4 linked regions of the Lonchura striata genome follow. The protein of the gene in region 4 binds, or shares a complex with, the protein of the main gene of each other region. Links are inferred from orthologs where the notes say so. Each region holds a gene or a part of one and is shown on either strand. Other genes may lie near its edges. The genes, in order: NUP188, NUP54, NUP35 and NUP93.

The links.
Region 1: NUP93 (region 4) and NUP188 share a complex: the UniProt entries of both Homo sapiens proteins name them as parts of the nuclear pore complex. The link is inferred for Lonchura striata from reciprocal best matches to the Homo sapiens genes NUP93 and NUP188.
Region 2: NUP93 (region 4) and NUP54 share a complex: the UniProt entries of both Homo sapiens proteins name them as parts of the p62 complex. The link is inferred for Lonchura striata from reciprocal best matches to the Homo sapiens genes NUP93 and NUP54.
Region 3: the proteins of NUP93 (region 4) and NUP35 are in contact, whole or in part, in a crystal structure (PDB 7MW1), measured with the Homo sapiens proteins. The link is inferred for Lonchura striata from reciprocal best matches to the Homo sapiens genes NUP93 and NUP35. Residues at the interface, in NP_055484.3 of Homo sapiens: Tyr266, Tyr269, Asn402, Ala407, Asp408, Lys409, Thr410, Glu411, Tyr413, Tyr448, His452, Phe453, Val455, Asn456, Leu461; in NP_612142.2 of Homo sapiens: Ala88, Pro89, Pro90, Val91, Arg92, Ser93, Ile94, Tyr95.

The regions. Positions count from the first base shown.
Region 1 is NC_134624.1:250,892-257,970, forward strand, and holds the start of NUP188 (nucleoporin NUP188), read right to left. Parts: upstream 3,001-7,079; 5' UTR 2,929-3,000; coding exon 2,903-2,928; intron 1,198-2,902; coding exon 1,143-1,197; intron 546-1,142; coding exon 472-545; intron 251-471; coding exon 166-250; intron 1-165. Other genes in the region: DOLK (dolichol kinase), read left to right, coding at 5,043-6,614. UniProt on the Homo sapiens protein: Component of the nuclear pore complex (NPC), a complex required for the trafficking across the nuclear envelope. Required for proper protein transport into the nucleus.
Region 2 is NC_134606.1:72,473,516-72,481,402, reverse strand, and holds the start of NUP54 (nucleoporin p54), read right to left. Parts: upstream 3,001-7,887; 5' UTR 1,960-3,000; coding exon 1,686-1,959; intron 1-1,685. Other genes in the region: SCARB2 (lysosome membrane protein 2), read right to left, coding at 5,757-5,798, 7,112-7,270, 7,850-7,887. UniProt on the Homo sapiens protein: Component of the nuclear pore complex, a complex required for the trafficking across the nuclear membrane.
Region 3 is NC_134610.1:33,293,425-33,301,187, forward strand, and holds the start of NUP35 (nucleoporin NUP35), read right to left. Parts: upstream 3,006-7,763; coding exon 2,864-3,005; intron 2,290-2,863; coding exon 2,119-2,289; intron 811-2,118; coding exon 683-810; intron 1-682. Other genes in the region: DUSP19 (dual specificity protein phosphatase 19), read right to left, coding at 4,655-4,876. UniProt on the Homo sapiens protein: Functions as a component of the nuclear pore complex (NPC).
Region 4 is NC_134615.1:15,614,016-15,621,228, reverse strand, and holds the start of NUP93 (nuclear pore complex protein Nup93), read right to left. Parts: upstream 3,013-7,213; 5' UTR 2,907-3,012; intron 2,608-2,906; exon of another isoform or gene 2,485-2,607; intron 1-2,484. UniProt on the Homo sapiens protein: Plays a role in the nuclear pore complex (NPC) assembly and/or maintenance. May anchor nucleoporins, but not NUP153 and TPR, to the NPC. During renal development, regulates podocyte migration and proliferation through SMAD4 signaling.

The sequences.
Region 1 (7,079 bases), on a different chromosome or scaffold from region 4:
AAGTTTGACCTAGAGCCTCAGATGTACTTCAACATCCTTTAGATTACTTTGAACTGAAAGGACCTTAAGTGTCTCTCTATTCAACATCATGAAGTCATTCAGTATCAGAATCCTGTAACAATTCACTCCAGAGATAAAAAATAATCCAAGAGCAGCTTCACTCACCAAAAACTTGCTGACTCTCAGACCCAACTCTTTTAGTGGAGCGGCTACATCTTTATCAGCTTTAATTTTTTCTGCTGAAGTCGTACTAAAGTGAAAAGAAATTTTAGTCATTAAAAATACAGCAATCTCAAAGAAAAAATTAAATAGGCATAATTTTAAAGTTCTCCACTCTTATCAGTCTAAACTGAACATTTGCTTCTTCCTCAGTGACCTTTCAATATTTCATACAATATTCTGTAACCTTCCTTTACTTACTAGGAAACTCCACATTTGAGATTAATTTCTAAAATCAGGCAGTGACTGTACCTCGGTGGTTTGTAGTATGACAGTCCCTCTAACAGCCTCTGCCAGTGCTTGTTCAACTCTGCAGCAATCTGAGCCTAAAACAGAACCAAACACCACTGAACAGACTCCTCAAAGTGCATTACCAAATATTACACCTGTTAAACTTCAGCAAAGCAAAGAAATTCCACCAGCACAAAGAGGCAGGAAGAACACAAGACTGGTGTCTGTGGCTCAGAGTGATTCCAGATGCAGCACTGAACAGGCAGGGAGCTGCACTGCCTGTTCCTAGGGAGGGTGAGGAAAAGGGAGGCAATGGACTGGATTTACAAACATTTGGATTCTCAACCTCTGGCCGAATTCCTGAAAGCACAGGCTCCATCCCTCAATATAAGACAGCAGTTGTACCACACGTGAACACCCCAGGGCAAACCAGGCAGCAGCACTTGTGCCCACTCCAGAAAAGGAACCACCTTTTCCATACACCCTTCCAGGCAGTTCATGCAGCAGCTGTAAACCAGCAGTTTACAGAAGAATAAACAAGTAGCAGAGGTACAGGAACAAAAATCATGCTGAGAAAGAAGGAAAGGCAGCAGAAAATATTTTCACTAATATTCAAAGAGTGTACAAATGATGTGTTTGGCCATGGAGCCCAATAAGTGATGGCCAAACCTGCTCTGCAGGGAATAACTTACTGGTTCTCTTAAAGCTGATCTGCCCAGCAAAATTGTCCATAATTCTCTGCTGCTCCTGCAAACACAAGGAAAAGGTGGAGAGCATTTTAATGATGAATGTTATTCCAGGCTTCCATCTAGCTTACACTTTTCAAACCTGCAATTAACTTACAGTGAATGACACTGCGATGCAAGAAAAATTATTTAAGGCACATTAGCTTCCAGCTAATGAGTTTCAAATGTCCTAGAAAAACCAAGGAAAAACCCAGAGAGGTGACAACTGACACAGCAAGACCTGTGAATTCACATCAAAACTTCACATTGATATCAGATTACCAGCTCAATTTGATTTTTTTACTTTAATTTGATTTAAAGCTCCTAAGAAGAAAATAGAAGCATAAAGCAGTATTCTACTATTACATTTAATGCTCTCCTTCAAACAAATTTTTCCAGCAGTTTCATCCTCCAGTCTAGGCAGAGCATAAAACTGTATGAAGTGAAAAACTCCACCATCTTCGCACAGACACCAGAACATTTACACTCAGCTTGTCATTTCTTCATGAGAACTCTGTAGAAAAGCCAACCTGCATTATAAAAATTACAGATCACACCCTGACCCTGGCACATGCATTCTAAAAGAAGTCTCCCTACAACAGCACAGAGAAAAGATATTTGCCAGAAACAGTATTTCACTTAGACAAACAATGATTTGCTAACAACACATTACAAATGAGGATTTAAACACCCCAACTCCTCACACAAAGACTGTCTACACAAGAACACTCATTGCCTTATTTTTAGAATAACATTATTAAAATAACTCACTGTGGCAGTGAAAGTCATCTGCAACTTCTGCCATGTGGTGACACTTAATGAATGACACCACCTGTTATTTCCAGCACACCCATCAGCATCATTCCTCCCTGCTCATTCCTCGATAGCTGGGTGCACTTCTCTGCCATGAGCCTCTCCAGCCCACGCAGAGCACCCAAAGACCCAGGTATTTACCAAGAACTGAACAGCAATGTGAAAGAGGCAATTCAATGAATCCCAGGTCCAGTGATCATGTCAGATCAGTGCCTTCATTTGCCTTGCACACATTTTTTTACTTATTGTCAGCTCTGAGCCCCAGCCTAGCAACGCCAACCCACCTACTTTTCACTCCTTCACAATCTCCTGTGAATAAAACAGACCGTGGTTTGTTGTCCCCTCATTAATAAGGCTCCAAGACAGCTAAGGGAGGAAAGCTCTCTGTATACGACCACAACGAACAGCGGTATCATTAATTTAATAAAAATTAGACACTAGGGAAACTCCAGAACATAAAAGCGTTATAATAAATGACAAAAAACGTGCTCTGGAGAAACGAAACCACTGAACTAAGATGATCACTGAACTCGGGATTGATTAAATCACTTCCATCACTCATTTCCACGCGTTTACTTTGACTTGCACGGGAGCGGCGCGGGAGGCGCAGCCGGTCCCGGTAGGGAAGGGCCGGGCCGGGCCGGGCCGAGCCGAGCCCCGCCACAAAAGCGCCGCAGCCGCGGCTCGCTCCGGCGCCCGAGCCGGGGCTCACTGAGGGTCCCTCAGCCGGGCGGGGGCGGGGCCAGCCCGGCGCGCGCCCCGCCGCGGTTAAAACCTCCCGGCCCCGCGCTGCGCCTCCTCCCCACAGCCCTGCCCGGCCCCCGGTGCCGCGGAGCGCGGCCCGCCCGCAGCGACAGCCGGGGCCTCCCAGGCCGCCCCCGCGCTCCCTCCGCCCGAGCGGCCCCGGCCCGCACCTCGCGCTCAGCCCGCCCGCCGCCATCTTCGCTCCGCTGTCACGTGACCCAGGGCTGCCGCCCTCCGCCGCGCCGGTGTCACGTGGTGCTGCACAAGCCACGCCCCCGCGCGTGGGTCATGTGACTGGCGGCGCGGCAAGATGGCGGCGCCCTGCGAGGTGGGTGCGGGCTGGGCTCCCCGGGGCGGTCGGGCCGGAGCACAAGATCCGCGCTGGAATCGGGAACCACCCGGGAGCGCCTCCGGCATCGCCCGCGGGCGGATGCCGTTCCCAGTAGCGGAGGCTGGGATGTGGGTGTCGCGGTTGAGGGGGACAGGAGGCGGCGGCGAGCAGGTGCGGGCAGCCCGCGGGTTGAGGGGCGTCCACAACGCTGCGGGGTCGTGGGGAAGAGAGGGAGCAATCAGGGGCTGCAGCCCGGATGTTTGGCAGCACGTCAGTGGGAAGCTTCCCCGCCCTGAGCAGCCGGCATGCGGAGCAGGAGACGGGCAGAAAACGCTGGGTCCGGCTCGATCCGCAGGGCGGTGGGTCCCGTTCGATGATGAGAGCGGCAGTGCCGAGGAGCTTCACAGTACCTGAAAGAAGGTGCGGAGGAGGGGATTGCGGCAGGCACAAGAAAACGAAATAACTCATTAGTGAAATATAGACTGTCAGGTCTAAGCATTCAGAGCCGCTCCATCAGAGACCTCAGGCAGGGTGAATTTCTACCTACTCTTGCAGCCCGGCGGGGAAGCTGTAATGCCATCGATACGGGAGCTGGGGTGCAACCTTAAGGTTGCCAGACTGAGTAGGAGGACTCTGTCTTTGGCTGGCAGGTGGCATTTACTCTGCTTCTTCTCAAATAAGCCTTAGGCTTCCCCCTCCCCAGTGCTCAGAAACAGCAGGGAGTACAACCCAAAAACTGTTATTGGTTGGAGGTAGATATTGCCCAGACCAGTTCTGGTTTATTGACTGTATGATTAATTCTTCTCCTGTTTAAAAATTAATTGCAATGACAAGAAATGACATTTGGCCTGAAGGAGCTGTGTAGCAACAGTGCATGTAATGAAGGTGTTTGGCAATCAAGTATTTCAGGCTATATGAATAAGGATGCCAAAAAGCAATCCATCAGTAAGTTTTCAGTACAAGGTTATAAATATCTAAACACTGCAGACACGCTAAGAAAGTTTTACAGTACAAACTGTAATAATTTCTCAGTAATATTGCTATTACTTTGTCAGCTTTGTAATCTAGTGTCACCATTCAACACTGGCTGAAAACCCAAAAGAGAACCTTAAATAAACTTCTGGTCTTCCATGAGGGAGCTGATGTAGATACTGGCATTGAGACTGGGGGAGCAGAATTTAGTAAGACTTTGCTGCTAATCAGCTTAAGGGTGGTCCAGAAGGGATAAAGTAAGCCCTTTTCACAGCTGGATCAACCATAATATTTCCAATAGACATAAAGAACAGGAGAACTTCAAAGACCCCAGAAGAGAGGCCAGTGTAATGGTAGAGGTTTACATATGGCCCATTATCAAATGATGTATCCATAGAGAAATCAGGGTCACCAGAAAGCAATAAATGCTGGTGAGAATTGCACAATGATGTCAATGCCCACAATTCTTTGAAGGAGATAAGATTTAACCTAACAGAGTAAATGTGGCTGTTGCTGAATATTTTAACTGCTTACCCTCCAGTCCAGACGTTTAAAGCAAAGCTTGGTTTGCAGTGCAGCTGTCAGTGTTGTCAATGCCCACAATTCTTTGAGGGAGATAAGATGAGATTTAACCTAAGAGAGTAAATGTGCCTGTGGCTGATTATCTTAACTGCTTACCCTCCAGTCCAAACGTTTAAAGCAAAGCTTGGTTTGCAGCTGTCAGTGAGCTGTGAGCCTTCACTTAGAGAAGATGAACTGCAGGATTTACTCACCTCACTTTTTTTTTAATTCATCTGTGTGTTGACTTTAGCAATTAGCACTTAACTATGAGTTTGAGTTTAAGAACCAAATAGCTGTGCAAACACTTCAGCTGTCCAAGTAGTTGCTTTAATTGCTTGCTTTTTTTTTTTTTTAATAGCAATTGCAGTAGCATGGAAGGGAATTCTTCCTAACAGGCAGCTGAGACTGGTGAAGTTGTGCAGGCCTGAGCAGGCTGGGCTGGAGTCATGTCGAACAGGGCAGTGCTGGTGGAGTCGCTGCTGGTGTTCACCGCGGTGCTGGCGGTGCACGCGGTGGTGTGGGACCGCTTCTCCTGGTGCGCCGTGGCTTTGGCCGTCCAGGCCTTCTACGCCCAGTTCAAATGGGACTGGCTGCTGCAGCAGGGCGGGGCTGTCTTCCAGTTCCGGGGTGCAGCCAACAGCGGCCTCCTGCCTGCCAGCATGGTCATCCCCCTGCTGGGGGTGGTGATGAAGGAGAGGTGCAGGGCTGCCGGCATCGTCTACTTCGAGCGCTTTGGCATCGTGGTGGCTTCCACGGGAATGCTGCTCGCTCTCTTCCTGTCCGTCTTGGCGGTTGGCATCACCAAACCTGTGCCAACCAACACTTGCATCCTGACTGGTGTTGCTGGCAGCGTAATTATCTACACCATGAAACATTCCTTGACTGTCTCCGAAGTGATAGAGGTTCTGGAAGTGCTGCTCATTTTCGTCTACCTCAGTATGATCTTGCTGTACTTGTTGCCTCGATGTTTTACTCCCGGGGAAGCGCTGCTGGTTCTCGGAGGTATAAGTTTTGTTCTCAACCAGCTCATTAAACGCTCACTGAATGTAATCGAGGGCAGAGGGGATCCCACTGACTTCTTCCTTCTGGTAGCAGTTGTTGGAGTTGTTCTTCTTGGTCTTTTTTTCACCGTGCTCTTCATTTTCATGGATTCAGGCACATGGATCTCCTCCATGTTTTTCCACATGATGACAGCAGTGTTAGGCTTAGGGGTCATCATGCCGTGGCTGTACCGACTGATCCAGAGGAACCCTTTGTTCTGGCTGCTCCAGTTTCTGTTTCAGACACAGACAAGACTTTACCTCCTTGTGTATTGGACTTTCTTGGCTGCCTTAGCATGTGGGGTGGTTTTCTACCAGAATGCTAAGAGATCATCTGAATCTAAAAAACACCAGGCCTCGACTATAACCAGGAAATATTTCCACTTCATTGTTGTAGCTACTTATGTTCCTGGACTAATTTATGACCGCCAGCTCCTCTACGTTGCTGCAGTGCTGTGTCTGGCAGTGTTTATCTTCTTAGAGTACATCCGGTACTTCAGGATCAAACCTTTTGGACAAACCCTGAGGCATTTGCTCTCTCTCTTCTTGGATGAAAGAGACAGTGGACCTCTCATCTTGACTCATATTTATCTCCTCCTCGGCATGTCCCTCCCAGTGTGGTTGTTTCCCAGATCATGTGCTCCTAAAGGCACCTTGTCTGGGGCAGGAGCACTGGTGCCCTACTCTGGGGTGTTGGCAGTAGGGGTAGGAGACACCATTGCCTCTGTTTTTGGCAGTACAATGGGGGAAATCAAATGGCCAGGAACAAAGAAGACCTTTGAAGGGACAATGACAGCTATTTTTGCTCAGATCATTGCTGTGGCTCTCATTCTGATCTTTGACAGCAGTGTGAATCTGAACTCTAGCTATGCCTGGATTCTGGCATCTGTGAGTTTGGTTTCTCTTTTGGAAGCTTACACTACTCAAATTGATAATCTGCTGTTGCCTCTCTACCTCCAGATCATGCTCATGGCATAGAAGCACTTCCAGGAACAGTTTTCTCCCTTCCTAGAGAAAGGTACTAGAAAATGCACTTTAATGAAAGCTCAAAGGTGATGTTTTGGTACAGCAGAGAAAGCTGTTGAGAACAGAAATGAGAAAGACTATTTTAAAACAGGTTTTGATTTGGTCTTGTTCTTACTCCTGTCGAAAATAGACGGATTTATGTTCTAACAGCAACAAACACAACCGATAAAAGCAGCACTTGTGTTTAATAATGCAATTTAAGTTTCTTCTGGGTGCACAAGGGAAGCAGAGGAAGAAGAGGTAAGTCAATTAGAGGGGAAAAAATAAACAAGCAAGTCTCTCAGATGTTGCTACCTCTGTACTGTACCTTGTTTTCTGTACTGAGTCTTGTCTTGTGTTTGATGTGTGAACTCTCATGTCTGTATAAGCACGATGTAAAGCATGTTTGATAATTGGGGGGGGCACAGGAACCAGGTA
Region 2 (7,887 bases), on a different chromosome or scaffold from region 4:
CTTCTGGTCAATGTCACTGCTAAGTGTGTAATAAACAACCTGATGTTTTGCGAACTTTACAAACAGTCCTAACCTCAGGAAAAAAAACAAAGCCTGAGGCCAGGTACACACAGTTGCTGTGCTTACAGGCAAAATTTACAGGTAAAATTCTACAGGGTCCTTTTCTTTAAAGCCTTGTTTCCCAATGATCCTCCCCATTACACCTCATTTGGAGATTCAACCACTAGTATAGGTAGATGGATGCAAAAGCAGTCTGCCTTCCACAGGTTTTCAGCAAAAGAAGTCACTAGCCAGCAGGAGAGGATCTAAGTGAGCACCTGAGCTCCAGTGGTGCCAATGGCACTGGCCCAAGGTGCAGCCTGCGGAGCACTGACCTGCCCGGGAAACCAAGGTCTCTGTGTTTCACGCTGCTTTTACACATGCTCAAACAACAAAAGACAGTCTGCTACGAAGGGTTTGTCACAAAGATGCTGTCTCTCCTAACTGACATGTCAATAGCAAAAAAAAAAACCAAGGTTCCTTAGATCTACTACACTCACAGTCCTCCTGTCCACAAACAAAATGAAAAGCATAAATCAAAGCTGATTTTATGTCCACTCAGCAAAAATCTTGATGTGAGTGGGCACAAGAAATTGTTCCCTGTAACACCCATGTTTCAGTCCTGCCAGCGAGCGGGACACCCTGGCAGGAGCACCAGCAGACAACACCATTTTTAGGTACCTTTGTACCCACTGCAAATTTCGTCATCCTTTCTTGAAAAGGGACCTGAGTGAATACCAAAGTATCAAATTAAATATCAAATGGACTACCCACGGTCTCTTCTGGAGCAGCTCAAATGAAGGCAAAGAAATCCAGCCCAAGAGTGTTCACAGCAAATAAACGCAATGGGACTGCTGGAGTGCACAGAACAGATGAGAGGCGCTGACACAGAGAGCGATGACACTGTGGGATGGACGGAATTCCTATACGAGCAGCAGCAACGGGACCCCCTGGGCTAATTCCACACCAACACGAGCACTAGAAATCCATCTGGTCCGGTGTTTTTATAGGGAATGGGAAATATTTGAAGTGAAATGACATCAGCTGATGGCTCAGATCTGCTGGATCTCCATGGGGCCACAAAGGGCTTCCTTAGCCACCCCCCCACTGTGCACCCATGTCGTGCAGGGTTCCCTGGAGCACGAGCGTCCCCGGAGAGCTGGGGCAGGGCCGTTTTGGGATGCAGGGCTTTGGGGAACAGGTCACAGCTGGGCTCTGACTTCGTGCCGGTCGTATACAATTCGTTTCTGCACAGAAACTATTGAGGTGTGGTGCGTTCATGACAGCCAATGCAAGGCTGATGAGGAGACACGGGGGAAGATGAAAACACGACCGCAGTAGTCCAAGAATCTCATGTCAGGAAACAGGGGAAAGCTGGGATTGCTCGGGATCACCTGGATTCATTCCCATTCCAGAGACTTTTGGCTATGGGGTTATTTTTCCTCAAAAGCTATTCCTCAAGAATTTAACAGGCAAAACCCCTCCATGTCTGTGGCTCTCCAACCCATTCCATTTCCAGAGCTTTAATGGCCAGTCTTCACTGGATATGAGGATTAGGTGTGGACACGTATCCCCAGTGAGGGATGTAATTCTTGGACCCCTGCTGGTAACATTTACCACACAACACGTATTTAGGCATTATCTACCTGCGCTCGCCAGACTGTTACCAAAATTGAAAGGTGGAGTTGAGGTAGTGGAAACACCGAAATTCCCAATATTAAAATTCACCGCGGGATTAGCAGTTAATCCGAAACCCCCAAAATTAAACCCACTGGCAGTGGAGTTTGCAGTTTCAAGCCCACCAAATCCTGACGAGCGGGAAGCAGAAAAAGAGCAAGGCAACATTAGTTCTGAGTGAAAGGCAGGTCCCAGGAAAGAAAAGCTGAAGCATTTTTCCATCCCCATGGGCAAGACAGGCATAGTTACAGACAAGAGTAAAAGGTATTAAGTGGCATTAAATATTAGTTGTTGGACACAAGGAGGACAGTTAAAAGCTCCACACACTGCTGCTGTAAAGACATTATTTTTCAATTGTACAGTGCATAAAGCAGTAGCATTTCCCCACCTTATTTCAAAGCCATATCTTTGTGATTCAATATTCACATTAACAGTAATTTTCAACAGCCTAAGACTGCTCAGTGCAGCTGCATTCATCTTAAGTGTAACAGATAGTAGCAAAATTACTAAAATATCAGGAAGGCAAGAGTAAACCATCTTCACACAGATAATACACTCAGATACGTGACAGCAGAATAACCATGAAACTCAGCTCCAGCAGCTGAGGCTGGACCACACAAGCCTCAGTTACTCCAGGGCAGACTTATCCAAATTCTATTGCCAAAACCTGCCCACCTCAGCCTTGCTGGATTTACTGATACGCCCAGCAGCCCTTGGAAGCAGCTGAAGCAGGTTCATGCTGGACAGACAACGGGAAGTCCTGATGTGTGATCCCAGATTTCCCTCTGATATTGGTCTGTGAGTGTCACAAACCTTGGCACAGTGTACAGGCAGCACAAGGTGATGTTTTACTTTCAGATGGGGCCAGAAAGAGTGTGTGTAAAAGAGACAGTAAAATTCAGGCTGACTAGAGCAAAGATGAGTCCTGTCCCAAGGACTTGTTTGGAGCCAACAATTAATTATTTCACTAAGTGAGGGCAAGGAAAGTTCTGTCCTACACTTCACCACGACTGACAGTGACAAAAGCAGAAGGGGAAAAGCCTAACTTTACAAGTCAACCCGTCTTTTACCTTGCTAAAAAATGAACTTCCAAGGGCATCTCGTCCAAACGACGAATTTATTGCAAGCAAAATGCTGATCCGAGCCACCTCTTCACAAGCGCCTCAAGAGCGACTCCCGGACCCGCCGGGGTCCGCGCGAGGCGCGGGACGGCGCCTCTGAGGCGGCCGCGGCTCCCATTGGCCGGGGGGCACGCGCTGCCGGCCACCGCCGCTCCCATTGGCCGCAGGGCACGAGCGGGCCGCCGCCGCCGTCATTCTCATCGACGGGGGGGAACGCGCGGGTCCCTGAGGGGGCCGCGATCCCCATTGGCGGGGGGGCACGCGCTGCTAGCCTCAGCGGTTCCCATTGGCGGGGGGAGCAGCACGAGGGGGACACGCGCGGGCCGCCGCCGCGATTGCCCATTGGCCGGGGGGCACGCGCGGCCCTCTGAGGCGCCCGCTGTTCTCATTGGCGGGGGGGCACGCGCTGCCGGCCGCCGCGGCTCTCATTGGCCAGGAGAGGGGGGGGGGCACGCGCTGCCCGCTGCTCGGTTCCCCCCGCCCCGCCCCTCCGCGCCCCGCGCCCCCCCGCGCTCACCGGTCGGGTTGGCGGCCCCGGCTCCCGCCGTGGCGCTGAAGTTGAAGGCCATGGGGCCGATCGTGGGACGGCGAGCGGAGGCCCCCGCGGGAGGCGCGTACGAGCCCCCGCGGCGGGTCCGGCCACAAACAAAACCGGCCGCACGCGCCGCTTTTCCGCCGCCGCCGCCAAAGCGCTTCCGGGTGGCGCAGGCGACTCGCGGTGACGCAATCGGCGCGCGCCAGCGGGCTGTACCACTGCGGGCGGCGGGACGGGGGCGCCGGGAGAGGCTCAACGTCCCACGGGACGCAGGGAAATAAAGGGGAACAAGGACAGGCAGCTCTTCCCCGAGGATCGGGGGCATTCCCTGGATTTCCCCCAGCACTGGGACCGCAGTGCCGCCGTTCCTTCGGGTGTGCCCGTTGTAGGAGCTGGCGGGCGGAACTTGGCAGTGACGGCTCCCACAGGCACCCCACGTCCATGAGGGAACAGCTGGCCACGGAGATCACGGAGTCTCCCTCCGGGCACATTCCTGTGGCAGCTGCACCCAGAGCATCCCACGATGCTGGGAAAGGCAGAGCATGGGCAGATTCCAGAGCGTTTTCCCAGGGTTATTCCCAGAAAACAAGATTTGGGGTGACAACACTGTCACAGAATCGCAGAAGGGCTTGATTTCAAAGGCACCTTAAAGCCCATCTTGCTCCTCTGCCTGCCATGGGTGAAAAATGACCAGATAATACTGGCTTTCACATCTATGTAGTAGCTTATGCATGTCGTGATTATAAATATTTAGAATAGTACTGTTAATATAATACAATATATCAGTTTAAGCATGCCCTGTGATGCTTATAGAAATAGTGGTGTAATCAATATAATATCTCTGTATCACTTATGGAAATAATAGTGTGATGAATGTACTGTGTTACAGACCTTAGCAAAACATAAGATGTAAAAAAATAAAGAGGCTTTTGTGTAACTAAAAGCAGTGTAAGGCTATCCACTGACCAGCCTGTCCAAGTGATAATCATGACACAAACCAGAGCACCAGAGGACAATTAGAGAATACTATGTTAAATTTAAGGAGGACACACTAAACACTTATCAAGCAGGATGGAGACTTGAGAAGAAATAAAATATATTGACCTGACACCCAGGATGTCATGGGGATAAGCAGTCAGACAAAGGAGCTCCCACAACATCAGAAACACTGTCTGTAAAACAGCAGGGTATTCTTTGGCCAGGATCACCCCAGCGCTGGAAACACTGTCCTTGTTTTATCCTATTATTATTAAACTTTGAAAAATTCTAAGCAGTGAATTCTGGTTTTCACACTTGGGCAGGGCCACCTTCCACGATCCCAGGCTGCTCCAAGCCCCTTCCATCTGGGCCTTGGACACTTGCAGGGATCCAGGCGCAGCTGCTCTGCAGAATCCATTCATGGGCCTCCCCACGCTCACAGGGAAGAAACCAAAGCAGCAGCCAGGAAAAAGACTCCAAACCAAGCCCAAGTGATGCAAACCCCAATGCCCCTCTTTAGAAGACAGTTACACACTTCAAAAACACATTTCACTACCCGATGGAAACATTCCTCGATGAGAATATCCTTTTAATTGGGGAGGGGGGAGGAACCTTGGTGACTTTTGCCACAAGCTTCTGCTTGACAAGTAAAAAAAGTGTCAGGAGTTCTCAGGACCCTGTCCATACCACGGAGGGGTGCTCTCATCCCAAACATGCCAAGTCTGCATTCCCAGCAAACCCCCACAACACCACCCACCAGCCGTGTCCCCTCCAGGCCAGGAACACCGCTGAGCTGTGGTGCCTTAAGCTGCAGAACAAAGCCCACACCCGAAGGATAAAAGCCTGCCTAGCGAGCAGAGTGGGAACACCGCAGTGGTGGGCATGGAGAAGCTCCGGCTGGCTCGGTCCCACATGGAGTTGCAGCTCCGGGGCGGGTCAGCCGCACGCGTGTGCTGTGACAGGAGCAAGGACACCAGTGACAAACGCTCGGAGCACGCTGCAGTGAGGACACATCGTGGACAGGGCAGCCTGTGTCCCTGTCCCAGGGCCATCCAGGAGCCCGCTGCGTTCCCAGAGGGCCGTCCACGCTCCCAGGGCCGTTGGCAAGGCCGCCCGCGTCGCTCCCGTAGGGAATCAGGTGGTTCTGATCCTCTGTGGCTGCCAGTGCGGGTAGGAACAGAGGGCAGGGCTGAGAAAAGCGGGATCCGGAGCAGTTTGCAAATGGAGTTTGAAAGTTGTAATGTAGCTGAGAGAAAAGTCTTCTCCCTGGCTGACAGCGCAGATTACCTTCCACCTCTGTCCCACCAAAGGTGACGCTGGACACGAGCGTGGCTCCAGAGGGGACACTTGGTGTTAAGTCAGCTCTAATCATTTATTCTCCAAGCTCACAGGGGGAATAAAATCTACTAAGATGTCCTGATGAGCGGGGACCTCTCTTCTTCTGTGCTCTGCAAGAACAAAACCACAGCAAGTGAAACGTGACCATGAGAGACCTTCCACCATGGAAGCTGGGCTGCCCAGACTCCAAGCAGGGAAAGGAAAAGCTCCTCCTTCTAAGGACAACTCCCTCCAAGAGAGCCAGGGCTGACTAAGGAGGCACCAGAGGGTTGGTGGCAGCCAGGGCAGGGACCTGGGCAGCCCCTGACACAGGAGGGAAGGCCAGGGATCACAAGAAGAGCTGCAGACTGCTGGATTACCTCTGTTTGCAGGAAGAGCAACAAAAAGCAAAGCAGGAAAAGCATGGAATGCAGGTGTCCCTTTGTCACTTTGACCCCAAGAGAGCTGGTTAGAAGCTGTGCATGTAGGGTGGGGCAGGAATTCCCAGGACAGGCCTTGGGCAGTGGGACAGATTGACACCCTGGCTAAACTGCTGACAGCACAGGCAGGCTCAGAAGGAAAGGGAAAGGGAAAAGGAAAAAAAGGAAAAGCAACCAGTCTCTCCTGCACAGGAAACTGAAGTGCAGCCCCATAGGGATGGGATGGCAGTGGATCCCACTGATCCAGAGGGGCTCCCCAGGCACAGAGGGAAATTGTAGGACAGCATTTAGGGAACACCAAAGACAGTAAGCCCACAGCAACTACGAAGACAAAACAGCCTCCTAGAGAACCCAGGCTATTCCTCTAATCAAAGGCTCCACACTTGGTGCCACCTGAACCCTGTTATGGTGGAATGCTGGCATCAGCTTTCGCCCTGACATGCACCTTAATGCCAGCATGTCAGCTTGGGACAGAACTGCTCATAAACAGATTTACAGACTGTAATAGACATTTACAATAGAATTGTAAATAGACAATAGTGGAGAATACTTCCTGCTGTTGCTGTCTGTGCAATTCATCTGTTCTTTGGCCACAAATTCACATTATGATTCTGGAAAATAACCCACTGGCACAATGCAGTTCTTCTGCTGAGAACACTGACACCAACTAAATCTGTCCTCAGATATGGTGGAGTTTTTGCATCTTATCCTTCAGGGTCCTCTAGACAGGCTGATTTATTTCACTACTGTTGGCAAGGGAATTGGGCACAGAGACAAGACCTGCCTTACCAGGCTTCTCGGATTAACTCCACTCCTTTGCTTTGGTGCGTTTATTCTGATTCTATTAAAACTTCCCCTCCCTAGAAAGGTCATTCCCAACAAAAACAATATAAAAACACGTGCAGAAAGACACAGCAAGAGGTAAAATCAACCACAAAAAACAAAAACAAAATCAAATGCTGGCAGATGGACAGCAAGCAAAGTGAAATCCAAGTGCTGCTTACCTCTTCAGTTATCCTCTGGGACCTGCACACCAGCACAATGAAAACAATCCCAAACACAATCCCCAGAGCCATGATTACAAAGGGGATCCCAGTCACAACACTGGCTTCCAGCAGGACGTGCCTGAGTCTGCTGGCAGATGCTTCATCTATCAGAACACTCTGGAGCAGAGAGAGATGAAGAGGAAATTAAAAAAAAAAAAGTTTATTTATTTATGTGCTTCCTATAAGATCACTTTTGTGAAGGGCAGGGAAACAACACTCCCACAACTCTCCAGCACTGCTTCACTGCTTCTTAACATACTTCCCCCTTCAAAATTCTTCCAGGGGAGCAGAGGGATCACCTAGTCGGCATTTCAAAGGAAAATATGGACTTTTAATTTTTGGTTTAGGAATGGAACTAACACAAATTGATTCAGTGATCTGACCACAGCACAGGAATATTCACAGCAGATGAGTCAGAAAAAGGTGTGATCTCCTGAAGTCCTGCCTCTGTCTGAGCACCCCTTTTCCTCACGGCCAACTCCTTTGAGTTTAAAAGGAGTGTCTGAGAGTGTTTGGCAAGGCTGAAATTAGCACTACAATAAACAGCAGGAGGGTGTCAGTTAAGAAACAGCAACATCTTCCTAGCTATTGCTGTACAAACACCAAAAAACCAGCATTTTCTTTTCTGGCTGGCTCAGAGGGTATTTCTGCAAGAGTTAACATGCCACAATGCTGGAAAGACACAGAACTATTTACCTCATTTATATACATCACTGGAAAAATCAGCGTTCGGA
Region 3 (7,763 bases), on a different chromosome or scaffold from region 4:
TACTCAGAAGGAAATTCCTTCTGTTTCCATAAGCACCTCTATTGTCTTCAAAAAGATAATCACAGAAACCCAGAATTATTAAGGTTGGAAAAGATCCCCAAGATCATTGAGTCCAACCATTAACCTAACACTGCCATCTTGACCACTAAACCATGTCCACACATTTTTGAACACTTTCAAGGATGGCGATTCTAACACTTCCCTGGGTGGCCTGTTCCAATGCCTGACCACCCTTTCAGTGAAAAGATTTTTCCTGATATCCAATCTAAACTTCTTCAGAGGCCATTTCCTTTTGTCCTCTCACTTGTTACCTGGGAGAAGAGACCAACATCCACCTTGCTACAACCTCCTTTAAAATTGTGGAAGGGTCCTTCTGGCAATCAGCTGCCAAATAAACTTAGAAGAAAGTGAAAAGCTGACAAACAAAGCTGAATTTATATGTACGAAGCATCACTTGCATTTTTCATTTCCTACTGAATTGAAAACTGGCAATAACAGGAATTTGCTTCATGACCACAGCTCTTGTTTAAACAGGAACAGGCACAACGAACAACCCAGACTAAGCAACGGCATGATCTGTAGGGTCATCACTCATTTTGCTACAGCAGTTTATGCAACTAAGTTTGAGAATTCACTGAGGCACATCTTCTGCTAAGAACAGGCCAGTGCCAAAGACACTTACTGTTCTTCTTGAGGACAGAGGTGTTGATCCAAGCCCAGGACTAGATAACTCATCATATATGCTTCTAACTGGTGGAGCACCACCTTTATCCTTATGCGAAGGGACTACTGGTTGTGGGGGAGACCCTCCTGCAATTCAAAGGAACAAAAGAAGAGCATGACAAAACCTGTCATTTTGCTTTGGTGCTACTTGTTCTGGAAACTTCAATAATAAATTCTGCCATGCTCTCATGCTGGTTGCTGTTGAGACTGTTGATTGTTTCACTGGAGGTTTGCAGAGCCATCTGTCCTACCAAATGTTCAAGTTTGAATGTTCTAGGTAGGAGCATCACAGGTGTTCCAAGCAGCAGCCTATTTATAACTTTCAGACCTCTTATTAATATTCACTGTTTAAATGTTCTTTCTCTGAAGTTCTGAGCATGGCTGTATCTTTCAATTTTAAGCCAGGCTTAGAAATCTATTTTAATTGTTTCAGAGACTAACTTGCCTATAGTAGAGACGCAAAAGCAAGATTTTTAAAAATTGAAATATCCTATATGTTAAAGAGCCATACCAAAAGCACAGAGACATTGCACATTACTGTCACATTCCCACTGTCCAAATTCCTTGGCTTCTCATCTAATTTCATATTAAATAAAAATGTAAGCTTTGAGAGCAGGGACTAGCTTGCATATAGACAGGAGGAAGTTAAACCAGCTGCCCTCTCATTTTGTAAACTTTGGAACTTCCAGTATAACAGAGAATTAAACTTCTTGAAGGAACTTGACGTATCTTATCCCTTTGTGTGGATTTACCCCAGGGTAAAAAAAAAAAAAAGTAGTTTGCATCAAGTTTTCACTTGCAAAACATTTGGAAACCAAGCTTTTTCCAGTGCTAAATTCTGAGCTTCAAGACTCCACTCTGTACTGTTTAACACATACAAGAACTGCTATTGTTGCATGGAATAACGTGCATTATGTAAAGCACTCTCCCATCAAGGTCTGCAGTTTAAGTGATGTACTTGATCTCTCCCTTTGGGAAGTCTGTGTTAGTATCTTACTGGCTCCCCTTTTCCTAAAATTGATACTCTGAGGCTATAATAAACACTTCAAAAAACAATTTGGTGAAATTCATGTGATTACTTTCAATTTCATAAGTATCTCTGTTTTCAGCATCAATGTATGTGTACCTGACATGTAAAGAGTCACATAAACTGATTCTATATTAGGAGAGGTTTATTACCTTCCCTGTAAAACAAACTTTTCTTGATGCCAAAACTGCCACATTTAGAACATTTATTATAATTCAATACACTGAGTTCACCACTTAATCAGTGTAGTTTGCTAACAGAAAGATATAAAACTATAAGGATTCAAGTCTGCAACAGTCATGTAGAACAATGAGATAAACCAATTTTTTGCTTTCAGGACAATTTTCCAACATTTAACGAATTCTGACCTGCAAGTAGTGGAGACCTTGTTTCCATGACACCAACTGAAGGGCCATATAAAGCACGTGGCTGCGGAGTCACTGGTGCAGGTAAGTCACCCATCAAAAACCCAGGGAGAAATTGAGCACTAGTTCCTTGTTTTGGAGATGTCGGGGAGCCAAGAGTCATTGGTTCAGCTCCTGAAAACAAAATTTTAAAATATGAACAAGACAAGTGAATGCTTTTTCTAACATACAAGATACAGGAAGTGATTAAGATCACAGAATCCCAGAACCATTAGCGTTGGAAGGGACCCCTGGAGATCATCTACTCCAACCCTCTGCCAAGGCAGGGTCACCCAGAGCAGGTACACAGAAACGTCTCCAGGTGAGTCTGGAATGTCTCCAGAAAGGGAGACTCTGGGCAGCCTGTTCCAGTGCTCGGCCAGCCTCAGTGTAAAGACGTTCTTCCTCACGCCTGAGGTAGAATTCCTTATTGTTTTGGTTTATGACCATTACTCCTCGCCCTGTCGCTGGGCACCACCGGCACCCGCCTCTGAGATATTTGTATGGACTGATGAGATCAAAGGCGGTTTTACAGGTAAGCCGAGTTTATCACGGTTTTTCGCAATTACAAGTGGCAGCCGATCGATTTAACCCCGCTCCCCTTTCGCGTCAGCCCGGCGCCGTCTCCCGCTCCAGCTCCGCAGCATCCCCGGCCCCACTCCCCTCACAGGAGCGCCCACAAAGCCGGGGAGCGCCGGGCCCGGCTCACCTGCGGGCAGCAGCTCCACGGCGAAGGCGGCCATGTCGGCCCGGATGGCGGGAAAGAGGCGGCGGCGGCGGCGGCTCCGCCTGGCACTTTCAAACGGGACGGAGCTTCCTGCCGCCGTCACTTCCGACCCGGCCCGTGACATGTTGGCGCGGGGCGGGAGGGTGTCGCGGCCTGGCGTGGGCTTGTGCCGGCCGGGCCCCTCATGGCTCCTTGGCAAACGGTCCCTGAGGGAGGGGCGGGTCGCCAGCAGCCGAGGGAACCGCGGCCAGCGTTACCGGGGCTGTCGCGGGCTGCTCCCGCGGGCGGACAGCTCGGAGCGGCCTCCCGGGGAAAGGTGCGGTCGGTGCCCGGGCCGCCGGGGCGCGGCCGGGAGCTGCTCCCCCGCCGCCCACACGGGGCCGGTGCCCGCCGACAACGCCCACATGCAGCGCGGCTGCCTGATCCCGCATTAACGTTTAGCATGGAATCATGGAAGCATGGAATCGTAGAGCTCATCCAGCTCCACCCCCTGCCATGGGCAGAAACGCTTTCCACTATCCCAGTTAGCCCTGTCCAGTGTGGCCCTGGACACTTCCAGGGATGGAGCAGCCATAGCTGCTCTGGGCAGCCTGTGCCCGGACCTCCCTCAGTGTAAATAATCTAATCTCAACCTCCTCCTTATTTCTGAATCCATTCCCATCCCTTGTCCTGTCACTAATGTTCTTGAGTAATTCATACTGAGAACAAGAGAAGCCGTGGTTCAAACACAGTGATGTGCTACTGTGCAAATTGCTGGCACAAGGACAGAACGCCAATCTTGAAACCAAACCTTTTAAATCACTTTAGCACACAATTAATCCAAACACAGCGGTCTCTTTATTTTGTTGCATATTAATATATCAAATCATTAAGAGATGGCATGAATACCACAAAATACTATTAAAATCTTATAGATTTTTTAAAAAAGCATATTAAGAGAGTAATTTCAGCCTGGGATCTCTCAGGAGGATCAAAATTACATACCCTATGATGTCTGTTCTTTACACATGTTGTGGAGTGGAGTGAGGGGAGAGCATGTGAGGACCAGATGTGAAGAAAAGACAGTAGCATGAGCAGAGACAGACCAGTATGAACATTTTTTGTATCTCTACTGAAATGATGTACAGGAAAAAAACCAAAAACGCTAGTTCCAAGACTGGACTCATCATATTAGTGCACTTCAAATCACTACTAGATGAGAAACAATAGGAATATACAGAGCATTAATGCATGCTGTGCATTTTGAGCATCCTCAAAAGACCATAGTTTTAATTTAAAAAAATTAATGGCTGGCTCTCCCACAAAATTCAATAATATCATCTACAGCTGCAATATAATTTTAAAATCCAGTATCAAGGTACTTCATTATATGAACATTTTATTATCCCTATTTTACAACCATCTAGGAATGCACAGATTTGGAAAGAAAGAAACTTACCTCAGTTATTTTACTTCCTTTCTCTATTGCCTGCATTTTCTGATAGTTCAGAAAGTAAACAATCATTCTATTGTTTTCTAATATTTCAAGGTAAACTGAGCTGTATCTTTTATTAGTGCTCTGGTTTTAGGCAAAACTTCTCTGAAGTCAGTACAACACCATTTGGCCTTTTGATGACATTCTGGAAAAAACATGGTCAAAGGAGGGTAAGAAAAAAAAATACATAAAGACTTGAAAATGCACATGTGAAAGGGGATTTCAAAATGACAGGACAAAGAACATCCAACACCTATTCCTGTATAGTCAAAACAGATTGTTTTGCTTTTCCCTTTGGATCAGTCATGATTGTTTATGCTTCCATTTGCCTTTAAAATCTGTTCTTGGTACTTGTGAAGCTGCTCCATGAAGCCAGGATTTGGACAAGCTGCAGGCCTTGCATTTTTCACCAAGGAAAAGGCTCTGGCAAAGCTCAGTCTTTCTGAATTCATTAGAAAACCAATGACTACAGCCGCTGCACGGGAGACTCCTGCATTGCAGTGAACCAGCACCACACCATCCTCCAAGAAAGAAATGAAACGTAAGTTAGGTACATTACATTCATTAGGTACATTAAAAGTGTAAGAAACTACATAAGTCTTGTAAGACTTATTAAAAGGCTCCTTGTTGAGCTCGAAGCAAATATTTACACATATAAGTAAATCCAAACAAAGATATAAGCATGATATAAGCATGAAATTAAGATTTTTTTCTACCCCAAAATGCTTTATTATTACCAAATTCCTCAAACTTAATTCATACCCGAGAACTAAAACACATCCTCTGTCTTTCTTCCTGAGGCTTTACAGCAGCCTGTTAATGTAAAGAACAAATCATAGACAACTGGGATACTAAAGTATCTGATCTAATTGAGTGACAATTTTGAAATAGATTTTATTTTCAATATGGAAAGGAATTTGAAAGTATCTTGTTAAAGGTTAAAAACATAACAAAGCAGCAAACAGCTGGGCACAGAGGCAGATTTTAGAATGTCTTGTAGTCCCAGTTGCATGTTTCTTGTGTACGCTGCAGGGAAGATTCTGGGTAAAAGGGATCATGCACAGGAAAATTAGAAAAGACATTGTGTGATTTGCAACAGATCTCTCCCTTCCCATTACACCACTGGTACATCTACGGACCCTTAATTGGGAACTAGGGTGCAAAATCCAAAACTACTCAACTTCCCATAAACTCACAAATGCTTCTTCTGGGGTTTGAATTCGGGCTCACCCTAAATTATATATTAAATTAATGGGTTTTATCCTACTTAAACATTTCCCTCACTACATTTGAGACACCTGTATGTCTCTTTTTAACACTGCAAGTTTTGTTAAGAAATAACAAGCCCAAATCAACGCAAAGACAGCTAGACAATCTAGCATGTCTTAAGCAATGTTTGCAAAGCCCCGGCTTCGTGAGGCAGTCATGTTTGTATGTCACACTATGATCTGGAAAAGCCCCTTGGACACAAAAAGAAACCACCAAACCCTCAGCACTTCCATATTCTGAATGAAAATACTGAAACATGACATGATGTGATCAGATACTTGAGGCTCAACAGAACTATTCTAGCCTCTTCTGTCTGCCCTTAACAGGTACAAGTTACTTAATGGCAATTTGACCCAGAGACAAAAAGATCTTCTAAGCATCAGGGTTACTTTCCAGGAACTTAAGAGTTTATGTTACAGATTTAGGAGCTACAATTATCTGGCATTTTAACAGACACACAGACCAGAAAATGGTTCCTGTTCCAAAAATCTTCCAGTGTAAATAACAAGGCAAAGAAGTATGAAATGCAGTATTATTATCCTTGCTGGAGAAATTCCAAGCTGAGACTAGAAGAATGAGGCACAACATTATGACAGAGCTAGGAACCAATCTAAGCTCCCGCATCCCAGCATGGCAAATAATGACACCACCCTTCCTTGCAATGGAAATCACACCTCCTGTGCACTGCCTGCTGGAAATTGCACTCTTAATTATTTTTTATTTTCCTTTGTACTGTTCATGCTTTATTTCCCTTTCACATTTAAGTCTGATGTATCTTTTTAAATAACTGGTTTGTTTTACACTGCCAAAAATTATATAGTGGTATCCATGAATCCTGAAAATTATTGAACATTAATGAATCTGGGCCATAATATTAATCCAACTTTAATACTGAGAATGTTTCTCTTCCCTTGCCAAAGTCCATTGTTCACAATTCATACAAAAATTTGGCATATTATTCTTAACTAGTTTTGTATTAGCTGTGAATGCAGAATAAAAGTAAGAAACAGATGACAAACAGGAAATAAATCTCTATTTACCAAGAACTCCTTGCTCTGATGCTGATAAAAGTTTTCCTGCCCAGAAATGGTCTGTGGACTTGCAAGAATCATGTAAGAGTCAAGACCAAGTTGGGTTTTAAAAAATTTTTATGGAGAGAGAAACATCACCTTCCACCAGCAGAAAAGGTGATTATACAATGGTTGTACACAGTGGGCGAAAAGCCTCATCAAGGGAAGAAATTTAAAAGAAGCACAAAGCTTTTTGTGAAGTCAAAGGCTAATGTAATTCCTTATAGATCCATTCTACTTTGCAGTGAAACTGAGGCTTTTCCTTAGGAAAGACAGGTGGACCAATAAGGAGCGATGTTCATGAATAAGCAAAGCTTTTCTCTTTGGAAGCACAAGATTTCAGAAGTTTTATTATTAGATATTAAACATATGAAAAAAGTATCCCTCATTCACAGTATTATGACTTGACATAGATCACTGAACATGTCATGGAAAACCTGCCTGCCAAGTTGGAGCCTAGAAGAAAAGTTGAGCTCTGATCAGTATCAGAATTTGTACCATGCTGTCTAGAGACTTGAGCCATTACAGTTTTAGAAAAGTGAATCCTGTTACAAGTACCCAGCTGGCAATGACTTAGAGAATAGTGCAGGCTTCACTTGCATCCTCAAATTCACATGCTCTCATACTTCCTTCATGGAGTTAGCCATGTTCTAGAAATAATTTCTCATATATCATGCTCTATCACCAGTGAACATCTCTTCCTCACCCATTTTAGGAGATGAAACAGTAGTGTCTCTGTGGTTACTTAAACAGAAGAGCACTTCATGACACAATTTATCATAAGCTCTTTTAACACTATTTTGACAAAACAAATAAAGTAATTCAAACCACCTAGAGATCTGTCTATATACCACTATCATGTGCTTTTTGAACTGATTCTGGAGAACTATTCCACCAAATACATTCCTTTCATCCACCTCTTCCACCAGAAAACTACTAATGTTGTGATAAAAGTTTTCCTGTAAACTCCTTAACCTACAAACTAGTAACTGAGATATAAACACCTGAGGCAGAAAGCAGAATAGTGCAGTTGTGAATGGCAACTTTCATTTAGAAATGAACTGGAAAC
Region 4 (7,213 bases):
GCCCAGTTTAATTTCCTGAACATTTAAAGCCACACTTAAGCACTATATATTGTACAAACTCACTAAGCTTAAGCCACAAAGAAAACAGAACAGATGACAGGTTTCTTAAGTCTATTCAGACTGATTATAGTTGATTATTTCTTACCTAAAAACTCCTCAAGAGCACTACAGTGCTATCTTAGGAAGAAAACTCTAGCTATTCTACTCCAAATACAGCCACGATGAACATTTTACTGTACTTGATTCAGAAATACAAAAGCTGAAATACTCCAGTGCACGTCTAAGTGTTCACTGTACTTCACACATTGACAGGATTTGTGTCAACTAACCAATTAACTTTGAGAAACAGTAAAAAAATTAGGTTTTCCCAGTGCTCTAGGAAAAAGAAAGGAAGATGTCACAGGAGAAGGAAAACCTCACTCACTACATTCAGAGTGCTGACAAAGCAAGAGCTCCACAAGTTGCAGAAAGATTATTCAAAATGGGAAAGAAAAAGGAAAAAATCCAGTGTTGGCTTCTCAAAGAGGCTCCACCCTCAAAGTGCTCAAGAGACCCAGTCTGATGAGTCAGGATCAGCTTCTTGTGGAAAGAAAACACAAGAGCACAAGTAGTAAGACCAAGCCAGCAGTGTTCTGCTTCCTACAGCCAATATCTGAGGTGAAAAGTGCTTTTTCAACAGGCTCCAAGCCTGGGATGCTACAGAGAATGGAGCAGCTTCTGTCTATTAAGCTAAACATGAATAAGTAAAAGGTCCATTCTGCAGGCCTGGGGAATTCTGTCTGAGCAGCAGCAATAATACCCAGCTCTTGCATGGCACGTGGCATAAGCAGACATCCAGACATTTCAGAGAAGTCAGCAACATAATCTCCATGTTACAGACAGAGGAAGTGATTAAGAAACACTGAGATGATAATCAAAGAGCAGGTGGACAATTGTACAACCCAAATCTGCTGCACATTTTCAGCACACCATCCTCTTGTCCATAAAACACAATAATGATTATCAAACCTAACAGAGGGAAAGCTTCCATACCCTAACTACACTAAACCCAGATAAATCACAATAGGCCACTTTAAAAATATCTAAAAGCTTCAAGCTTTATTTGGCACCCCATCTGGTACAACAGCCTCTTCCCCCTGCAACAAAAGGCAGATGCAGGAAAATCCTGAATAGATCACACAACAACCTTTGAAACAATACTATTGTTTCTTCTACCACTGATCCATTAATGCTTCTCTGACTCCTATAAAAAGGCTTTCAGTCCTGCATATTTTCTTCTTCATCTCATTTGTAGGTAGATATGCAAAAGTCCAATCTTCTTATGGTCCCAGAGAACCCTTACAGTAGGTATGTTGAACAAAAATTTTTTTTTCAAAGTTTTAAAGGCAGTTACACTGGGTTACTTGCACTGTAAGAAAGGACAAGGAAGGGCACACAATGCTTCTCTACAGTGTTCATTATTTAAAGTGGACCTAAAGAGTAGGCATTTGAAGTGATTTCTACCAAAATACACTAGCACACATTTGTCAACACCCTTTCATCTGCCATCAATTCCTCATAAAGGTCTTAAGTTCCCATTGCCCTGAATAACTGACTCAGCTGGCAGTTTTGCTATATTACCACGTTCCCTCTTTTCCAAACACTTAGCCTTTATTTTAAGCACCCAACTCAGCAGGAACTTGCACAGGGTGGCAAACTGATCCTCATTAGACAGAGCATTCAGGATTTTGAGCTCCTTAAATGAAAACCCATATCCTCCCCTCAATGAACTTCCTGTCATTGAATTTCCTGAATTTCTGCACCACAGAAACTTTATGGATTTAGATGACAGAATCCCATGCTTTCTTCCAAGCAATTTTAAGCTTTTTCTGTCAGTTTCCCCAAGGAGTAGGAAAATTTTTTATGACACAACATAACTGAAATAGCACTAAAGCATATAGGAACTGGTATTTCTTTCTCACTATCATCTTAACTCTCCATGCCATAACTACTGTTCCCAGACCAACATGACCAAATTGCAGAAGAGAAGCAGCCCTTCTTTGCACCTGGACTTTAATTCAAGCCCTTCCACTCACTGTTCATAAACTCTTCCAGTATCTGAAGGGGTCCTACAGCAAAACCAGAGAGGGACTCTTTGTCAGAACTGTAGTGATGGACAAGGACTAATAAACATTAAAAGAGGGGAAATTTAGGAAGACATTCTTTACTGTGAGGGTGGTGAGGCACTGGCACACGTTGCCCTGGGACTGTCCCACCTCTGCCAGTGTTCATCATGCCAGGTTGGATAATGCCTTGACCAGCCTGGTCCAGCAGAAAGTGTCTCTGCCCATGGTAGCGGGAGGTGGAACTATATAAGCTTTGAAGTCCCTTCCAAACCCTCTAAGAATTCCTAGGAACCAACCTGCAAACCCACTGGGTGGGAGAGAACAAGCCCCACGCACAGAACTCGAAACAGACACCAAACCACACACATCATACACAAACCCGTTCTCCGGAAACCTTCCCAGACAACCAACTTCTGCTCCCTTAAGCACCAACGCTGCACTTGGGTTAAACACCAAACCACCCTTCTACAGCCGGGCTTGGCACTGCCGACCCGCACAAAAGCTCGGAAGAACAGAGCCCTCCTCGCGCATCCACAGCGGCCCCGCTGCCTCAGCGCGGGTTACTGACGGCAGCGACCCCGGGGAGCCCCGGCACGGCCCGCGAGCAGGCCTGGAGCGCTCCCAGCCAGCCTCCCGCCGCAGCAGCGGCCTGCACGGGCCGGAGAGGAAGCCATGGGCGGGGGGCAGCAGCCGGGAGCTGCGGGTGCGGGGGAAGCAGGCAGCGAGCACCGCAGGCGGGGAAGAAGCGGGGGAGAGAAGCGGAGGACGCCGAACCCCGGCCCGCCCGCGCGGCGCCCTCACCTCGCCGCGCTCCGCGCCGCCCGCCGCGCCCGCGCCGCGCGCCTCCATTGGCTGCCCGCTCGCCCTTTCCCGCGTTCCCATTGGCCGAGCCGCCGGGCGTCCCGGCTTCCCGTGCTCCTATTGGCCCAGCCGCCGCTCTCCGCAGCGCGCCCGTTCCCGCTCCCTCGCGAGAACAACTTGATTGAGGCGCTCGGAGGGGGCGCGGACCGAATGGGGGGGCGGCTGCCTCCGGACACCGCGGGTTCGAGGCTGCCTTCCGCCTCCTCGCGCTGCGTGCGCCGCGCCGAAATCAGTGAAATAAGAGATATACAGACAGAAATATCCTCTGGGACTGTTTCTCTATTCCCCCTTTTCCTTCTTAGTAAGCGCTGACTCTTGCTGGCAAACCCTGTCTGTGAGCTGATTCTGTGAGCTGATTCTGTGGGAGGTAAAATGAGGATAACGAATTCATCCCCATTTTGCCTCCCATGGCCAAATACACCAGCAAACAAACTCGCAGCCAGCAGGTACTCACACCACCACCTGTATAATGGTGCCCTGAGGATGTATAGGGATTCGCTGTGTTTGGTCCCATCTTGGACATACACATGATGGCCCTAAAACAGATATTGCCAATGACACAGGATTTGTTGGGCAAAATCTGGGAACTGGGAATTTCATGGACCCACAAGGCGACAGCCTGCTTGTGTAAGAGACAGCCTGGATTTTGCTGCTGTTCTGAAACATCACCCATCAAACCTTCAAAGCTGAACAGATTTCCCCATTAACACTGTCTCTATTTCCAAATTTTCCCATGTAAAAAGAAATTCCCAGCAGGCCAGAGGCAGCTCTGGCACCGGCTGTAACTACTCCTCCTAATTGCCAAGTGCGTGCAGGGGGTCAGGGTACATTTCTGCTCGTCACTTCAGTTTGAGGGGAGCACTTGTCCCCGAGAGGATGCCCTGGTGGAATGGATGCTCTGGTAGTAAAGATGCCTTGGTGGGATGGTTGTCCTGGTGTGATGGGTGTACTGATGGGATAGGCGCCCTGGTAGGGTGGCTGTGCCACCTCAGCTCTCCCTGAGCCCTTCCAGGCTCCCGGGGCATCTTTCCAGAGCGAGGAGAGTCCTGGTCCGCCCGGAGACCGGCGCTGGTGCCCTCCGGGGCGGGACGGGGGAACAGCCGTCCGGAGGGGCCGGGAAAGGAGAGACAGAGGCAGGGACCGAGGGAGGCGGGGACCGGCAGGGAGCCGGGGCGGCGGCGGGGCTGCGGGCAGGCAGGTGGCAGCAGATCCCTGCGGAAGGGCTCGGTGGCGCCCGGAGCGGAGCCGCTCGGGAGAGCCGTCCCTGGGGAGGGACCCGGGTCCTCTGCACGGGGGGCAAGGGGTGCTGCCCCCTCTGTGGGTGCCCGTCCCTCTACACTGGGCGCACAGGGCGCCTTTGCCTTGCCCAGGATGCGCAGGGTGCTGTCCCCTCTACATCAGATGCGTGTACCCTCCATCCTGGGTGCCCATCCTATGAGCATAGCATCTCATCTCTGTGCCAGGGGTTTTAAACAGGATATTAGTCAAAACACATCAGTGAAAGTGCTGTCAAGCGCTGGAACAGGCTGCCCAGGAAAGTAGTGGAGTCACCACCCCTGGAGCGATTTAAAAAAACAATGTAGATGTGTCACTTGGCTTAGGGGTGGGCTTGGCAGCGCTGGGGTAGCAGCTGGACTTGATGACCTTAGAGGGGTTTTCCAACCTTTCCAACAATTCTATGACTGTATTTTCCTCTCGCACTGGGTGCATTTTCCCTCTGCCCTGAGGGCAGGGTGTTATTTCCCCTGTGCACACGTGCCTGTCGCCTCTGCGCCAGGTGTGTTTGCTCTGTGCGCTGGGTGCATGTCCCCGCTGCGCACAGCGCTTGTCCCCTCGGCACAGGGCGATGTCCCCGCGGCACAGAGGTTCCTGTCATGCGTGCGCAGGGTGCTCATCTGCTCTGCACACAGTGCATCGCTCCTCTGCACAGAGCGCACATCCCTTCTGCACAGGGCACGTGTCCCTCCTGCACATGGTGCGTCTCAGCGCCACGCAGGGTCACGGACACCCATCACCCCCCTGGGATTCACACACAGCTAGAAAAAGCGGAACTGAATGCGGTCCCATGGGCAGCTGCAGGGCTGTTCGTCTGGGAGTGCACCCAGGACCCCCTTGCCCTGGCTCCCGTGGGTGCCCAGAAGGGATCGTGGTCACCTCAAACCACCTCAGCAGACTGAGCTGGACTTTTTTTGGCGGGGCTCAATAAAGTACATCAGCGTCTTCGTGGATCAAGAAAGGCTCCCCTCACCCTCCCACTATACAGAGCTGTCCAGAGGCTGAGAGCACTTCCTGCTTCATCAACAAGTACTTTTTTTTTTTTTTTTTTTTAATAGAAAATACTCTTGAGGGGACCAGAAAGCCCTCACCCACCTCACTGAGAGCAGCTACAGGCAAGGGCAGGCACTGGATACATCCCTGACCAGCTCATTCCACTGGTCCTGTGGCTTTCCTTGCCCCAAATCCATCCTGGGGAGGCTGGAAAAGGCACCAAGGCTGGGGGTCTCTGCCAGACGGGCGCGCAGGCAGAACCAGGAGCAGGCAGGGCAGGCTGGCAGCGGCAGGGTGCAGAAATGTGTGCCCACATCCTACCCTGGCACGCTGCTGGGAACCGGGGAGCGGTTGATGCCTGGGGCGCTTCCTGTGCGGGGAAACCCCATCCGCGCCCGGCTTTGTTTCTGGTGCAGGATGCGGGCGCCTGCCCCGGGGGCTCAGTCTGCAGCCCCTCCGCTACAGTGGCCGGGGTCGCAGCCCTGTTTCATATGGCTCCAGCAGCAGAGCCATGCCAGTCTTCTTTTCCAGCAAAGCGTCTTCCCATGGGATTGTTTTTAAATATTTAGGGCAGGGCAGACCCTTAAAACCCATTTCCATCACTACACCTCTGTTGCAGCAAGCAGTGCTGGGAGGCTGCTGAGGCAAAGACACACTGATGCAATAAGGCAACACATTTAAAAGGCAAATGGGTGTTGAGCTAAGTGCTGCTTTTCTCACTGGCCAAGTTGGGTGCTGAGTGGTCTGAGGAGCCATGTGCTGAAGCTGGGCAGACTTTGGGGAAAGGGTGAGCCTGGATCATCCTGGATGCCTGAAACATCCCTGGGAACTGGTATTGCCATGCTCCCACTGTGCAGACACCCCACCTTGTGTCACCCAGCCTAACAGATAGGACTATGTGGGTACCCAAGGGACAAATTTTCCTGGGTTTTAAATTTATCTTGTCCGTGGTGCCTTGTCACCAAGTGCTGCAGGAGATTTTCGTGCCAGGCAGAGCTGTCCTATTGCCTGAAGAGACACAAAATGGGTGAGGGCAGCATGGCTGGGAACTTACATCTATGGTGGGGCACACCCAGGAGACATGTATGGGCAGGCATCTGCCTTAAAAGTGGCTGCTCCATTTGGCAGAGACTTTCGGAAGCAAAACACTTAGTATGCATCTTCCCACCGCCCCCCCTCCCCCATTCCAGCAGCCACCCGAAATCCAGGCAGCTAAGCACTGCATTCACAGCTATTGTTACCTGCCCTCCTGCATCTGGAAGACTTTGCAGCTTTAAGCAAGGTGCTTCCCAAGAACGAGCTGGAAAAAAGTGCTCGGAAGTTTTGCCTACAGCAGGAGCCAAGCAGTGTAGCTGTAGGTGTTCGGCATGGGGAGACTGCAGGGAAAGTGTCCTTTTGGGGATGGATCTGCTCTGCAATGGATTGGGGCTTGCAAAGCTTTTGAGGAGGGAAGCTTTGTCCCCACTAGAATTTGTCCAAATGCTCTCCAGCAGCAGCTCAGGGCAGGCATCTTGCCAGCACAGATCACCCTCCCACCCACCACACTTGCTCCTACAAAATCTTTCACCCAAAGGAAGCCCCTAACATAGTGCAGAGGCACCTGCCATGTAGCCAAGGAAAGGCTGGAGGGGACTAGAGACCCTCCTTCCACTGTTTGCCCACACCTCTGGGTGTGTCACCTGTCCTCCCTGGGAGACCAGCACCTCAAAGATGCCCACATCAGCCCCACATGTAGGATGAGATCCACCCCTGTGAAGCTCCTTTCCTCCCTCAAGGAAGGTGCAGAGCCCACTTAGGGAAGGACACAGGAGTGTTTCTGAGCAGCCCTCTCCCACCCTGCAGCGACAATTCGACAATTCCCATACAGGTGTCCCAAGCGGCAAAAATGCTCAGCCTCCAACCCATCCCCACAGCAGCACTCGTACCTCCAGAAAAACTCCTTTATTTCCATCCAGTTTCACCACTGGTACAGAAAATAC